Linked DNA regions of Saccharomyces cerevisiae S288C. Changing the gene in region 2 together with the main gene of any one other region gives a genetic interaction. Each region holds a gene or a part of one and is shown on either strand. Other genes may lie near its edges.

Region 1 (3,951 bases), on a different chromosome or scaffold from region 2:
GTGCCTCCTTTTGTTTCTTCCGCTTTTATTTATCTGTTCCTCCTCATCACTTATTTCTTCTTCATTCACTCCCTCATTGGCTTCTTCTTCTCTGTAATCATCATCTTCATTCTCATCATTTTCATCAATATCTAAATCCTCAGTATCAATTGCATAATTGGGTCTGTTGCTAGTAGATCTTGACCGCTTCTCATGTTCAACTTCGGAAGCTAGACCTCCCTCTGAATCTGACATTTCTGCTAGATGGTATTTCCTTCTTCAAAAGTAAATGTACTGTATTCAGTAATGCTTAAACTTTATAAAGCTGTTTTCTTGCAATATTTTTGTCTGCTCACAGTAACATGTTTAATAGTTCGAACGGGTTTTTTTTTAAAAGAGCGAAGTAATCAAAGCATTCGGGTAATAATTACAAGTTTATATGGACTGTGGTAAAAACAGTGTAAAACTTTTTTATATCTATTTTTCTAAGGTTACGTAATTGTTTACTTTATATTCTTATCTCACTCGAGGACAACATTCCACCTTTTAATGCAAGCGTCCGCACCAGAACTAACCAAGGTAGATGGTGTTTCCCATAAAAGGTTGTTAACACCGTCCTTGTGAGCATTCAACGCCTTAATGATTTTCATAGGTCTTTTGACGGAGTAAATAAAAATATTGGTGTCTAAAGAACCAGTGGCAACTAAGTCCTCTTCAATTTCCTCTTCGTTTGCTCCCTTTTCAGCAGGTTTCCATGAAATGGCGTTGATTTTACTGGTGTGGAAAGCCCATCTTGAAGTTTTCACTTCTCTTGATTGTAAATCATATAGCAATATCTTGCCCATAACATCTCCAGCAGCGATGTATGTTTCAGATGGCGAAATTGATATGTACGAGGGTTTTGCGCGAAGAGGTGTTTTTAAATCAAAACTGACTTCCAAATCTGATAATTTGAATACCTGAATAGTATTACCTTCTTCCAAACCAACTGCAACGTAATTTTGGCTCAAGCTAACGGCAGAGCCTGGTGAGTTCAGTCTTACACTCTTGATTATATCGCCCGTAAAAGACTGTAATATCAACAAATCATCATCATTTGTTAGTACTGCAGTGAAGCCATCATTGTTCGCACTAGCAACCTTTGGTTGCGATCCAAATTCATGCTTAGTAATACCGTTCACTTTCAAAGTATCATCCCAAGAAATACTGGAGTATTCTTGCGCTTTACTATTATCCAATGATACAATCAAGTTGGAGTGATCTTGGTGCATGGAAGAGCTAGACCATTCCATAATCCTACCATCATATGACCCACTGATTAGTGGGTTGACTGTCAAAGCAGTAATACCCTTGTTATGACCACTAATGGTTTTTAAAACCTCGTCATGTCCAAGTTCATAGAAGTTTAAGGTCCCATCCAGTGAAAGAGAAATAATCCTTCCGTTTCCTGTTGCAACAACACCAACTTGTTGATTTCCCAGTTGTTGCTTGTCTAAGGTCCATTTTTGAACGCATTTTGAAGTCGTGACGTCCCAAACCCTAATGGTAGCGTCTGCTCCTACGGTAGCAAACTTTTGGGAATCAAGCCACGATAGTGCAAATATACCACCTTGAACTGGTTCTTGATCATCCTCTATGTATTTAAGAAACTCACCTGATTTGCCATCAAAGCAAGAAATCTTTCTGTCAGACCCTACCGTAATAACAAATTCACCGCTGTCAGGTGAAAATTCAACATCCCTGACAAATGAGCCTTGTTTGTGGTGTGTTCTGTCACTGGCAGAGAACTTAAATGGAGGTCCTTGATAAAAGACAACAGATCCATCATCTCCAACTGTCATAGATCTCATAGGTCTAGATTGCTTCAAATGACAAGCATTGATGCGTTGTGAGTGACCTGAAACTTCACCTAAGGAATTACCAGAATCCCAGGATATGAAAACACCAAAGTTATCACGACCTTCTCCCACAACGCAGAGTCTTCGCCCTTCAAAATCCCAGGAGATATCGCTGATTGGACCTGCTAAAACTTGGAATTCAGACTTAACATTCACTTCAACAGAATTGCTTTCTTTGTCAAATGTCCATCCCCAAACAATCACTTTTCCAGATTCGTCACCGGAGCATAGGTACTGGGAACCCTTAATTGGAGAGAACTTTACCGTTGTGACTACCGAAGAGCCATGACCAGTAAATTGTACTACTGGAGGTACTTTACTGTCTCCATCGTCCAAACAACGTACAAATGCAGATTTTCCACATGGGTAAGCAATTGCGTTGGTTGTAGGGTCATACGATAAATGCGTAGTAAAGTTACGCTGTGTCGAAGGCTGAGGTGGTATAATTTCCTTCAAAGAGATAGATGACATTATTTTTGTTTACTTTGCTACTTTTGCCCGTTAATATACCTTAAAAACTGTATTTGCGAGTTGCAAAAGGCAGAATAGTGCTGAGTTGCTTCCCCTTATAATTAAATAATGATCATTAATCAAAGATCTGACATATATGCCTTCGGTAGAAAAGGTGGCAGGTTACAGGGTGAAAACATCCGTACATCATATACAATTCATTGTTTCGAAAACAAACGAACGGGACACTAGAGACCAATAAAAACGTTTCAGAACGTCTTGGTAGCGTTCAGTTCTGATTATGAACGGAAAGCAATAGCTAGTATTGATACACCTCCAGTTTCTAGTCATTCACCCCAAGTAAGCATAATATTTAACGTTCTGTGACCTACATACCTCGTAATTAGTGATAATTATCTTTTGAAAATTTTTGGAATAACTGAAAAATTTTGAAAACTTTCGAGCTTTGAAGAAAAAACGATGCCCATCACTAATAGAAGTCCCTTGAAACAGTTTTTGCTAAGAACAGGCCTAAGGATCATAATATAGAAATAAAATGTCGACTGCTAGGCCTAGAATAATCACTTCGAAGGCTCCATTATTGCCTCAACAGACTACCCCGGAGCAGCGTTACTGGCGTCAATACACTTCCGCACAACTGGTTAAAGAACATAATAGCGTTACTCACATATCATTCAATCCTCAACATCCTCATGATTTTGCAGTAACTTCCTCAACCAGAGTTCAAATATTTTCTTCAAGAACTAGGCAAGTGATCAAGACCTTTTCAAGATTTAAAGATGTTGTCTATTCTGCATCCTTTAGGAGTGATGGTAAATTGCTTTGTGCCGGTGATGCTACCGGTTTAGTGTCTGTATACGACAGTTATAATCCCAGGACTATCCTTTTATCTATAAACGCTTCCACACATCCCACACATGTTACGAAATTCCATACGCAAGATAACAAAATTCTGGCTACGGCGAGTGACGATAGAGTGACAAGACTTTGGGATATATCCAACGCATATGAGCCACAATTAGAGCTCACCGGAGCTACTGACTATGTTCGTACCTTATCATTTATCCCAGCAGCCCCACATTTGGTTGCAACAGGCTCATACGACGGTTTGATCAGATTATATGACACAAGATCTAGCGGATCCACGCCAATTTATTCTCTGAATCATGACCAACCTGTTGAAAATGTTATTGCAGTATCTCCAACCCAAATTGTTTCTTGCGGTGGCAATAATTTCAAAGTGTGGGACTTGACCAGTAACAAGAAATTATACGAACGTGGCAATTTCAATAAGGCTGTGACATGCTTGGACTATGTTGAAAATTTTGATTCTCCAATGCAATCGGCGTTGATCGCTTCTTCCTTAGATGGTCATGTCAAAGTCTTTGATCCTTTAGACAATTTCCAAGTCAAATTTGGCTGGAAATTTTCGGGTCCCGTACTAAGTTGTGCTGTCTCCCCTAGTACCGCACAAGGGAATAGGCATTTAGTAGCAGGTTTATCATCAGGACTACTAGCCATTAGAACTAAAAAGAAAGAGAAACGTTCTTCCGATAAAGAAAACGCACCCGCCAGTTTTAATAAGAATGCGAAAAGTAATAAC
Region 2 (4,610 bases):
TCTCTATCGCAATGTGTATTTTCACATTTACTTATCGTTTACAAGTAGCTTCATCCATGGTAACGGATTGGATATTTGCCAGCACTTTTTCGTAGCCTAAATCTCATTCCTCGTTCATTTCCCTCCTCAAATCGATGATAGGTTTTCCGGATTTAACATACCTTCTTTTGGTCAATAATTTCGACGATAGCGGCCAATTTACCTGCGGATTGACCCTTCTTGATCAAAACCACACGGCCAACTTCGACTAATCTCCAGTTAGAAGCCTTGACAATAGAATCGGTGGACATTGTTTATTTTATTTTTCACGACTCTCTTTGTTCACTAAGACAAACAATTAAATTTGTTATACAATCGGCAGACCTGATCAACTTAACCTTAGATTACTTTTTTTTCAGTTCAATAGTACTCGACGAGTACGAAGGGCAGTCCACTGAAAGCTCTACGCTCTCTCCGTTGCCAATTGGGCTGAGAATGGAAACACTGCGCGCTGAAGGGAAACCCGATTATGGAAAAATGCACGCAGCTGCAAGCAGCAATCTCTCGTAAACCGCTCTTTTCCGGGCGGAAAGTTAGGCCGACACCTGTTTGAAGCTTCATAAAATGCAAAATCGAAAAAAAATTGATAACGGACACTCAAAATTTGATATTTCACACATATTATGTATGTGATGTCAAGATGTAAAAATAGTGTATGGGTGTATTTGCGCTGTCAATTATTTTACTCAGAGTATAGTTACATTCTGGCAAGAATTTGCTGGTTTTGTCTTTTTTTACTTCACAACTAATGCTGGATTTTTTTATTTAAACCTAATTTCTTCAGTGAACTCCAATGTGTATTCATGTTTGATTTTAAAAGCTTCAATTTTAAAAGCTTCAATTTTAAATATCCGATGACTGTTAATCGCAGCTGCTAGTGAGATGACTGACAAAAGGTTCAGTAGAAACATAAAATATATAACAAATGTGTTGAGAATGATAGTATGATACAGTGGTATCATATTTCGTTCCTATTTGAGGTACCAGTAGTTCTTATCAAGAAGATTCAATGAGAAAGGTAACTGAATGATGATATAATTTGCGATCTAGGGCTAATCACTTGGAACACCGCCATGTTCTATATGGGTGATTAGCGAAGTGCGAAAAATTTTTTATCTGATATTTTCCTTGAACAATATTTCTAATAACACTTGCGTTGTTGCAACTGGCAGATTAACCATGTTGCTCAATATTCCTTCCTTGTATATGGGAGAACATCTTGAGGCAATGTTTAGAATTTAAAAATGTGTGCTCCCTTAAACTACGCTACTCAGAAAGGATCTTCGTGTGTACGGTAACTGACCAATGAATATTGTGCGGTAAGTATCTTATGTTTCTTGTTGCTGAATGTACGGTTCATGCAGTAAATTAGCTACTCTAGTTTTCTTGTTATTGCAAGAAGCCGCGCATTGCTACATGCAGAAAAAAAAAGAGGAAATAATATAAGGTATATCATTAAGAAGGATACTGGAAGAACTCAACAAGGAGAGAACGGTAGAAAGGTAATATATAATCATCATAGCGATGTCAAATTCTAGGTATTCTCAGACCGAATCAAACGTATGTAAATCACCGGCAACACGCATAGGTGTTTAGAATGGGACCTAGCTTGCTATATGGATGTTATAAGCTACTAACTATTGCTTCTGTACACCGGATGAGCAGATGTATCATCCCTTCATGTACATGTACTTTAAACAGAATGATAGGAAACTAGAGGGGTTAGCCAATAAATTAGCTACATTCAGAAACATAAACCAAGAGATTGGAGACCGAGCGGTCTCTGACAGTTCTGTCATAAACCAAATGACAGATTCATTGGGATCGATGTTTACCGATATCAAAAATTCGTCCTCAAGGTTAACCCGATCATTAAAGGCTGGTAATAGCATATGGAGAATGGTGGGTTTGGCGTTATTAATATTCTTCATTCTATATACCCTGTTTAAGTTATTTTAGTGAGCCAATCAAGCCAAAAATAAATAATGTACATAGATGTATTCAATTTAAGAAATAGGAAGAGAATGGAATAAGGCAGGCATGAAATTTCATTTGCCTTCTGCCGCATTCTTACCCAATCTATAACTGCCAATCGCACTACCCCAGTTAATTTTGGATCTCGTGACTGGTAATCTTCTTCTTAAGGCCTTAAACTGTTTTTCGTTCAAGTCGAAAAATGAAAGATCTAGATCATTTTCGAAATTCGTCTCAATATCCCTTATTGTGCAAACAACGTCATCAACGTTAGATTGATTGATATCCTTCCCAGATTGGAAACTAACGTTACCGTCTTCGTAATAGTGGACTTGCGTAGAGATTTGACCGGATAACTCCCTGGTCTCCAAATCGTAGATGTAGCTTGATCTCCAATGGCCGTTCCAGAAATTGTTTGGATTATATTTGGTGCTAACAATAATAATAGAAATTTTACTTATTTCCTCAGGGACTGGGTAAACAGCAAAACTGACATCACCTGGAAAGCTCTGAAGAAGATATTCGTGCAATTTATCGTGCAGTTCTTTCAATTGCCCTTTCTCTATCTTTGCATGCGTGAACTCATATGGTTCAATGTCAAGGCCCTTGCGCTCTAAATGGTTAACTGAAAATATTACGGAATTTACGGGATCAAAAAACTTTGCTCCTTCCTTGTTGTATTTGGAAATAATTACAGAGTTCCCGTTGACTTCTATAGGGATGCAATTCTGCACGTTGTAATTCTCAATAGCATCCAAAATAGTATTTTTGGAGTTTTCACTTGTGATCTTGATTAGATCGTCGTATACTTCCCTTAATTCTCCTGGAGGGCTGTCATTGATGATCTTGTTGATGACCTCTTCGAATTTACTACTAGACATTTTCTGTCGCTCTTATGATCCGTTGGATTAACGGTCTGAATAGTACCTTACAGTTGCTAACACCTTCCTATACTCAAATCCAGTACTAGCCACTGTAAAATCAGTATTCCAATAGGAAGAAAAAGGGGATCATAACCCGGCTATCGTATCACATGATAGTCACGTGCAGTGATTATCACGTGATCCGAACTGTTGTGAAAAAACGCGACGCGAAAAAAAAAATGCTGGGCTTCAACAGGAAAAAGACCAGGAATGAAAAATAGTTGGAAAGGAAACAACTGTCTTTTCCGGTCATTCCAACAAAGTTGCTAGATCCGCGGAACCATTTTCGTCATTTTTTTTTTTTCACTCTTTTTTCTCATATCGGTGGGCATTGTACCTGATCATGCTAGACAAATAACGTGGGAGGAGGGAGAAAGTATTGGAATCTAGACAAAGATTTTTAAGTTATTTTTCTATTGTTTCCCTCCTTGGCTTGTTGCATCCCGTTTTGTTTTATTTACTTGCTTTTTTTTTTTCTTATTTATTTATTTATTTATTTATTGTTATTTGGCTATTGTATTCCGTGAACCCGTTTTTCTGCTACATCGGCTTTATAATCCGGACCTGATTTAAGTTAAAACTACAGTTTCTTGTTCGTTACCGTTTTTCTGTTCCATACAGATATTTTTGTCGGTTGATCGCTATTGTTTTTATTATTCATACCTCCGGTAAACATTTAGATAGACACAGTATCAATAAACAAGAGCTATGTCGACAATAAAGCCAAGCCCTTCAAACAACAATTTGAAAGTGAGGTCAAGACCAAGACGCAAGTCTTCCATAGGTAAGATCGACCTCGGGGACACTGTACCTAGTTTAGGTACTATGTTCGAGACAAAAGAATCTAAAACGGCTGCTAAAAGGCGTATGCAGAGATTATCTGAAGCCACCAAAAATGATAGCGACCTGGTCAAGAAAATCTGGTTTTCATTCCGAGAGATAAGTTACCGTCATGCCTGGATAGCTCCCTTGATGATTTTAATCGCGGTATATAGTGCCTATTTCACTTCTGGTAACACTACAAAGACAAATGTGTTACATAGATTTGTCGCTGTGTCATACCAAATAGGTGATACCAACGCATATGGTAAAGGTATTAACGATTTGTGCTTTGTATTTTACTATATGATTTTTTTCACATTCTTACGTGAATTCCTAATGGATGTTGTCATTAGACCGTTCGCTATTAGGTTACACGTCACTTCTAAGCACAGAATAAAAAGAATCATGGAACAAATGTACGCTATTTTCTACACCGGTGTTTCCGGTCCTTTCGGGATATATTGTATGTACCATTCGGATTTATGGTTTTTCAACACAAAGGCAATGTACAGAACATATCCAGATTTCACTAATCCCTTCTTATTCAAGGTATTCTATTTGGGTCAAGCTGCATTTTGGGCTCAACAAGCCTGCATTCTTGTATTGCAACTAGAAAAGCCAAGAAAAGATCATAACGAGTTGACTTTCCATCATATTGTTACTTTACTATTGATTTGGTCTTCCTACGTATTTCATTTCACTAAAATGGGACTGCCAATCTATATCACAATGGATGTTTCTGATTTTCTTTTGTCATTCTCCAAAACTCTAAATTATTTGGACTCTGGATTGGCTTTTTTTTCTTTTGCTATCTTTGTTGTTGCGTGGATTTATTTGCGTCATTACATAAAT
Region 3 (5,689 bases), on a different chromosome or scaffold from region 2:
CTTCATCTGCCATCGCCTTTCTATGTTTTCCGTATTTCTTCCCCGCAAGTTCTTTAAACTCAGATAGTATTAGAATCGATAATTAAGGCCAGGTCAAAGTTCGTATTAATTTCAACCTTTGGGCACCTATATTGGATTAATTTCCGTAAGATAATATATGAGAGCACTATCATGGAGTGATGAAGAAAAATTCAAACTCTAGGGGCAAACCGTTTGTTACGATTGCTCAAAAATTACTGCGTCTGAAGCCAGAATTGTAGGTATATACGAAAAGGTACAACTTGGGATACTATTGACGGCGGTAAGATAAGTGAATCCTACCTTTCGTTTTGAGCCGCTCAAATAAGACCTGATACAAAAACGGTTGTTTAATCTTTGTATAGTTTCTTCTGTAGAAGAGTTATGAAAATATACACTTAAACTATAACGATAAGAAAATGCGAAAGGAAAATGATGAAATCGAAAGCATTCACAATTTCCCCTTGGAAGCATTGGGTAAATTACCAACCTACGTATCCTCTCGCAACAATTCTGAAAACCTTTAACTTCCCACTTTTCATATGGCTTAGCTTGTAGCTGTTTTGAATAATCTTTCCCTCGTGATTTTCGATAACTCTAAACTTATTCTTTGTAAAATCATAATCAGTAACAACACTCGAATACGGAGCGGCGGAGTCCATTCCAACGTTGATAATTTCGTTTTTTCCGATCTTTTTATGAGCTTCAAATTTGGCCTTTCTAATTACAAGAATGTCACCTGGTTTAATCTTCTGTAAGCTCTTCATCAACTGTTCGATTCCTTCTTCAGGTTTATAACTCAATATAGTTGCGCCAAACGTTCTTGCTCCTATGGGTTGTATAACTTCGTCTTTGAATTCGGATACAATTTGTGACACGAAATTCTTAGCCCCAATATGTGAATTTATCAATGAATGAGATTTCTCTACAACTTTCGCATTAAACCTTTGAGCGTATTCATCAAGAATACGTGCTGATTGTGTTTCGACTGGCGATGGAAAGCGTTCTTGAAGAGTCGTTACCGTTTTCTCTGGGCTTGTACTATTAAAGGTCAAGGAGAATCTTAGTTGCGAATAGTTTTCAAACAAGAAGTAAAAATCCCTTACCACCCATTTTTGATGTAATCTTTTGGAAATGAAATGATCATCGATCTCCATCAAAAAGTTCAACTTCAGATTGCTTATAGCAGGAGGTGCGCTTTTATTAATCCACCATCTTTCTTGTGCATTAAACTCTATCTTGACGTTGTTGGAAATCTCGCCTACATCATGCGTCGTTGACCTTCTTATAGAGGCCACCTTCGGTGTAGTATCTGACTCATGGAATGAATCCACAGGACGATTCGTCAATGAAGGCACATGGGGCGGTAGGGTTCGTGATTCTTTTTCTGCCCCAGATAGTACTGAGGTTGGCACACGTTGTTGCGTACTCATCATTGAAGGTGTAGAGGCCGTGACATTTTGATGTGGTGGAGGAGAAGGAGCTGTATGTGAATGAGTGGCTGTTGGTTCAGAGTCAAATTCAAAAGTAGCCGGTGGTACTGGTGGTGCACGTGGAAGTGGCGGAGCAGTATTTGGCATAGGATGATATTCCTCGGATACAGGTGGAAGGGGAGCAGATGACTTGACATGTTCTTCTACTTCATTGTGTTTAGGCAGCGCAAGAGGCGCTGGAGGTGCTGGAGGTGCTGGAGGTGTTGGAGGTACTGGAGGTATTGAAGGTGCTGAGAGTGCTGGAGGTGCTGAAGATACTGGAGGTACTGGGGGTACTGGGGGTACTGAAGGTGCAGAGAGTGCTGGAGGTGCTGGAGGTACTGGAGGTGCAGAGGGTACTGAAGGTGCAGAGGGTACTGGAGGTGCAGAGGGTGCAGAAGGCACTGGGTGAGGTGGCACCTTGTCCTCAGGATGTGACACCTTACTTAGAACTGGAGCTGCTGGAGCTGCCATCGAAATATCTTGAGCGGTTTCTGTTAATGCAGATGAATTAGTGGAAACTGTATCATGATACTCGTTTATGGATTTCCGCCGATTTTCCCCTGAAATGGATTTAGTCAAAGAATTTATCGACCCGTTGCGAGCAACTCTTGTTTGTGGGGAAGAGACAGGCAAAACATTTCCAGTTGTGTTTTGTGATGAATTTTCAATATCATGTGATACTTCTGCAGTACGGTGGGAGATTGGTGGTTCTTGAGGGTAAATTTTTTCTCCGGAATTAACATTCTCTGACTCATTATTACCTATCTGAAAAGCTTGCTCCACCATCGAATGCTTTCTCAACCCATCGTTTGCATCCTCAAACTCGTGGTCGTCAGTATCTTCATCAGAATCATGGTCAGAGTATTCGGGATGTGCATTATCAACAGCAGCTAAATTGTGATAGGCGTGTGTACCATGTTCTTGCTTCTGTTCATGCTCTGTGGTTGCATGAGGATCTAGCGTCTTTGTTTCAGTGGGTTGATTCTTCTCACTTAGATTTGATTTCCTAAAAAATGGGTTAGAACTTGGGTCAACAAATGGCATAACAGGTATGGCACGAGGTAGTTCTTGGAGCTGTTCAGGTTCCTCCTCCTCCTTCTCCTTATGCTGTTTCTTTTTCGGCTCTTCTGATGGTTTATTTCCAACTCCAGAAGCCATACCGAAGGGGTTAAAACCAACAGGAGCACCGAATCTACTAGCGCCAGATAGTTTAGCCATTCTTTCTCTCAATGCGGCCCTACGATTCTCTTCACTATCTTCCTCTTCTTTTTCCTCATCATTATCTCCCTCTCTGTCTTCATGGCCGTAACCTATTTCGCTTTCCTCAGCAACATTTTCTCCTCTTGCCTCGTCTGCTTGTGACTCCTCAACTTTCTGATTTTCCTTTGTGTACTCATCTAAAAATTGTTCTTTCTCTATGTCATTCGTGCCTTCATCTGCTTCGCGTGAGGTTTTAGTAATCTCTTTATGTGCCAATAATTCCATTTGCGGTTCCTCGTTGTGCTCAGTTTCAGGCGTAAATTCAGGTTTCGGTTCAGTTTTTTCATTTTCTTCTGCTTCTTCAGTTTCCGTATAGGGCTCATTCTTGTTAACCGCACTACGTTCATGTTCTTGTTCGAGCTTAGCCTTTTTTCTCAAGAGTTCTTCTTCTCTTGCAGCCTGTAATCTTTGTTGCTCCTGTAAAAGAGCAATTCTTTCTTTAAGGCTCATCTGGGGCAAATCCTTCTTTAATTGGTCATTCTCAGTTTCTATTCTTCCACTTTCCACCTGTGCACGATTAATTGGTTCGGGAACAATCTTTTTTTCGTTTTCCTTTAGGGACTTTTTCCTTTCAAGATTGGACGTATCATTTGTTGGAATTCCAGGGGGGACATAGTATTTAGGAGCATCTGCCACAATTGTTTTTTTCACAGGTATGTTTTCTAAATCCAAGTGAGTTGATTTTGGTAAAGGAACTTGCTCCGTTATATCTTGATTAAACATAGATAAGCGAGCCTTCAATTTTGGAGAATCCATGGGAACTTTTCTTTCGCCATTACCACTACTACTATCATGCTGGACCTGTGCTGATACTGCTGTAGCGGCTGGAACTGGCACTGTAGCGGCTGGAACTGGCACTGTAGCGGCTGGAACTGGCACTGGCCCGGACAGAGTTTCTTTCTTCGTTTCAGGGGAAATGGGCTCTGGTAGGTCCTTTTGTTCTACTTCCGGCTGGATTGTACGTTGCTCAGTGGAACCGGTATTCGGAGATGATTCGGCTTCCTTTCCAACTTCAGATCCCTGAACAGCAACAAAACTTTTCGGGAAGATACCCTCAATAACGTCGCCATTTGAATCCTGGTATTCACCAAAGTACCATTCGGCGTCTTCAACAGACGTAACAATAATCTCTTGATCTTTTTCAAAATTTAAATCGTCCTCGTAATCGGACTTGTATGGGAACTGAGCCACCACCTTGAAGGGCACTTCGGGTTCACTCATCCTTAGTTTGGGTAAGACTGTGTTTACTTCTAGTAGCTCTTGCAGTTGGGACGCGATTGATGTTTACTACCGACTTGACGCTACTGTTTCACAGTGTGCTAGTAAATACCACTTCTAGTTGAAGTCTTAAGGAGATTATAATTCTGGAGGTAAAATAGGGGCATTGTAGACCTCTAACTATTTTCAGGGTATATTCCTATATTATATAGGTTTATTCTTAAAATATGAGGTTTATAAATGATACACATCACTTATTGATAGGGTTATACTCTTTGATACGGGTAACATATGAGACGCGAAAATGGAATATAATGACAATGTAAATATCGTCATCTTGAGATAATTATCAACAAGGTTGTCATGAGGAGTTACAGATAAAAGTCAACAGAGTGGAGTTAGTGGTGTTTTAACTGTAGTGCTCCATAGTTTCACGGCGGTTTCTCTTGTTTTCAGTTGGTAGTAACTTTTATCCTGGAAGTGCTGGAAATGAATAACTCAAATGAGCATAGGCGGGAAGAGGCAGGAGCGGCTAATGAACAAATGCCTTACAATAAGGCTGTAAAGTCCGCGTATGCAGATGTCCTCAAGGACAAAATGAATAGGGAACAGGAGATTAGCCTACGAGCCATCAAAAAAGGGATATACACCGATGGCGGTGAAACTGACAACTATGATATGGATAAAGAGAATGATTCCGCGTACGAAATGTTCAAAAAAAATCTTGATTTTCCGTTAGACCAACATAATGATGACGACGATGATGATCCGTACATTGAGGATAATGGACAAGAGACCGACGGATATAGCGACGAGGACTATACAGATGAGGCAGACAAGAGTTTTATAGAAGACAGCGATTCCGACAGCTACGATTTGGAAAGTAATTCTGACTTTGAAGAGAACTTGGAAAGTTCAGGTGAAGCTAAGAAGTTGAAGTGGCGGACGTACATTTTCTATGGAGGCCTTTTCTTCGTTTTTTATTTTTTTGGATCTTTTTTGATGACAACCGTGAAAAATAATGATTTAGAAAGCCATTCATCCGGCGCTACATCCTCTCCAGGCAAATCATTCAGCAACCTACAAAAACAGGTGAATCATTTATATAGTGAGTTGAGTAAGCGGGACGAAAAGCACAGTTCAGAATTGGATAAAACAGTAAAAATCATTGTCTCTCAATTTGAAAAGAATATTAAAAGACTTTTACCCTCAAATTTGGTTAATTTTGAAAATGACATTAACTCGCTGACAAAACAGGTTGAGACAATTTCAACTTCCATGAGTGAGTTACAGAGGCGAAATCACAAATTTACGGTCGAGAATGTTACTCAATGGCAAGATCAACTGGTAAAACAGTTGGATACACACCTCCCTCAAGAAATACCCGTTGTAATTAATAATTCTTCGTCGCTTTTAATAATCCCTGAATTGCACAATTATTTGAGTGCTTTGATTTCAGACGTTATTGAGTCTCCAGGCATTGGTACTGCTGGAAGCGCTGAAAGTCGTTGGGAGTATGATTTGAATCGCTATGTAAAGGAAATTCTTTCGAATGAGTTGCAATATATCGATAAGGATTATTTCATCCAAGAAATGAACAGAAGGTTGCAATCTAACAAACAGGAGATTTGGGAAGAGATCACAAATAGGTTAGAGACACAGCAGCAGCAGCAGCAGCAGCAGGTTCAACAGGATTATTCTAACGTGCCACAGCAGTA

What was found. Genes that interact genetically often act in the same process or in processes that back each other up.
Region 1: mutations in CAP1 (region 2) and AIP1 together harm fitness more than expected from each alone (negative genetic interaction), as found in Saccharomyces cerevisiae (5 studies listed by BioGRID, with this or other methods).
Region 3: mutations in CAP1 (region 2) and BBC1 together harm fitness more than expected from each alone (negative genetic interaction), as found in Saccharomyces cerevisiae (4 studies listed by BioGRID, with this or other methods).

Annotation. Positions count from the first base shown.
Region 1 is NC_001145.3:451,132-455,082, forward strand, and holds AIP1 (Aip1p), read right to left. Parts: upstream 2,349-3,951; coding exon 501-2,348; downstream 1-500. Other genes in the region: NPL6 (Npl6p), read right to left, coding at 1-234; snoRNA-binding rRNA-processing protein UTP15, read left to right, coding at 2,884-3,951.
Region 2 is NC_001143.9:427,586-432,195, reverse strand, and holds CAP1 (Cap1p), read right to left. Parts: upstream 2,895-4,610; coding exon 2,088-2,894; downstream 1-2,087. Other genes in the region: 60S ribosomal protein eL14 RPL14A, read right to left, coding at 162-290; SFT1 (Sft1p), read left to right, coding at 1,564-1,599, 1,741-1,998; sphingosine N-acyltransferase LAC1, read left to right, coding at 3,645-4,610. UniProt on the Saccharomyces cerevisiae protein: F-actin-capping proteins bind in a Ca(2+)-independent manner to the fast growing ends of actin filaments (barbed end) thereby blocking the exchange of subunits at these ends.
Region 3 is NC_001142.9:398,437-404,125, forward strand, and holds BBC1 (Bbc1p), read right to left. Parts: upstream 3,975-5,689; coding exon 501-3,974; downstream 1-500. Other genes in the region: MPS3 (Mps3p), read left to right, coding at 4,461-5,689. UniProt on the Saccharomyces cerevisiae protein: Involved in the regulation of actin cytoskeleton.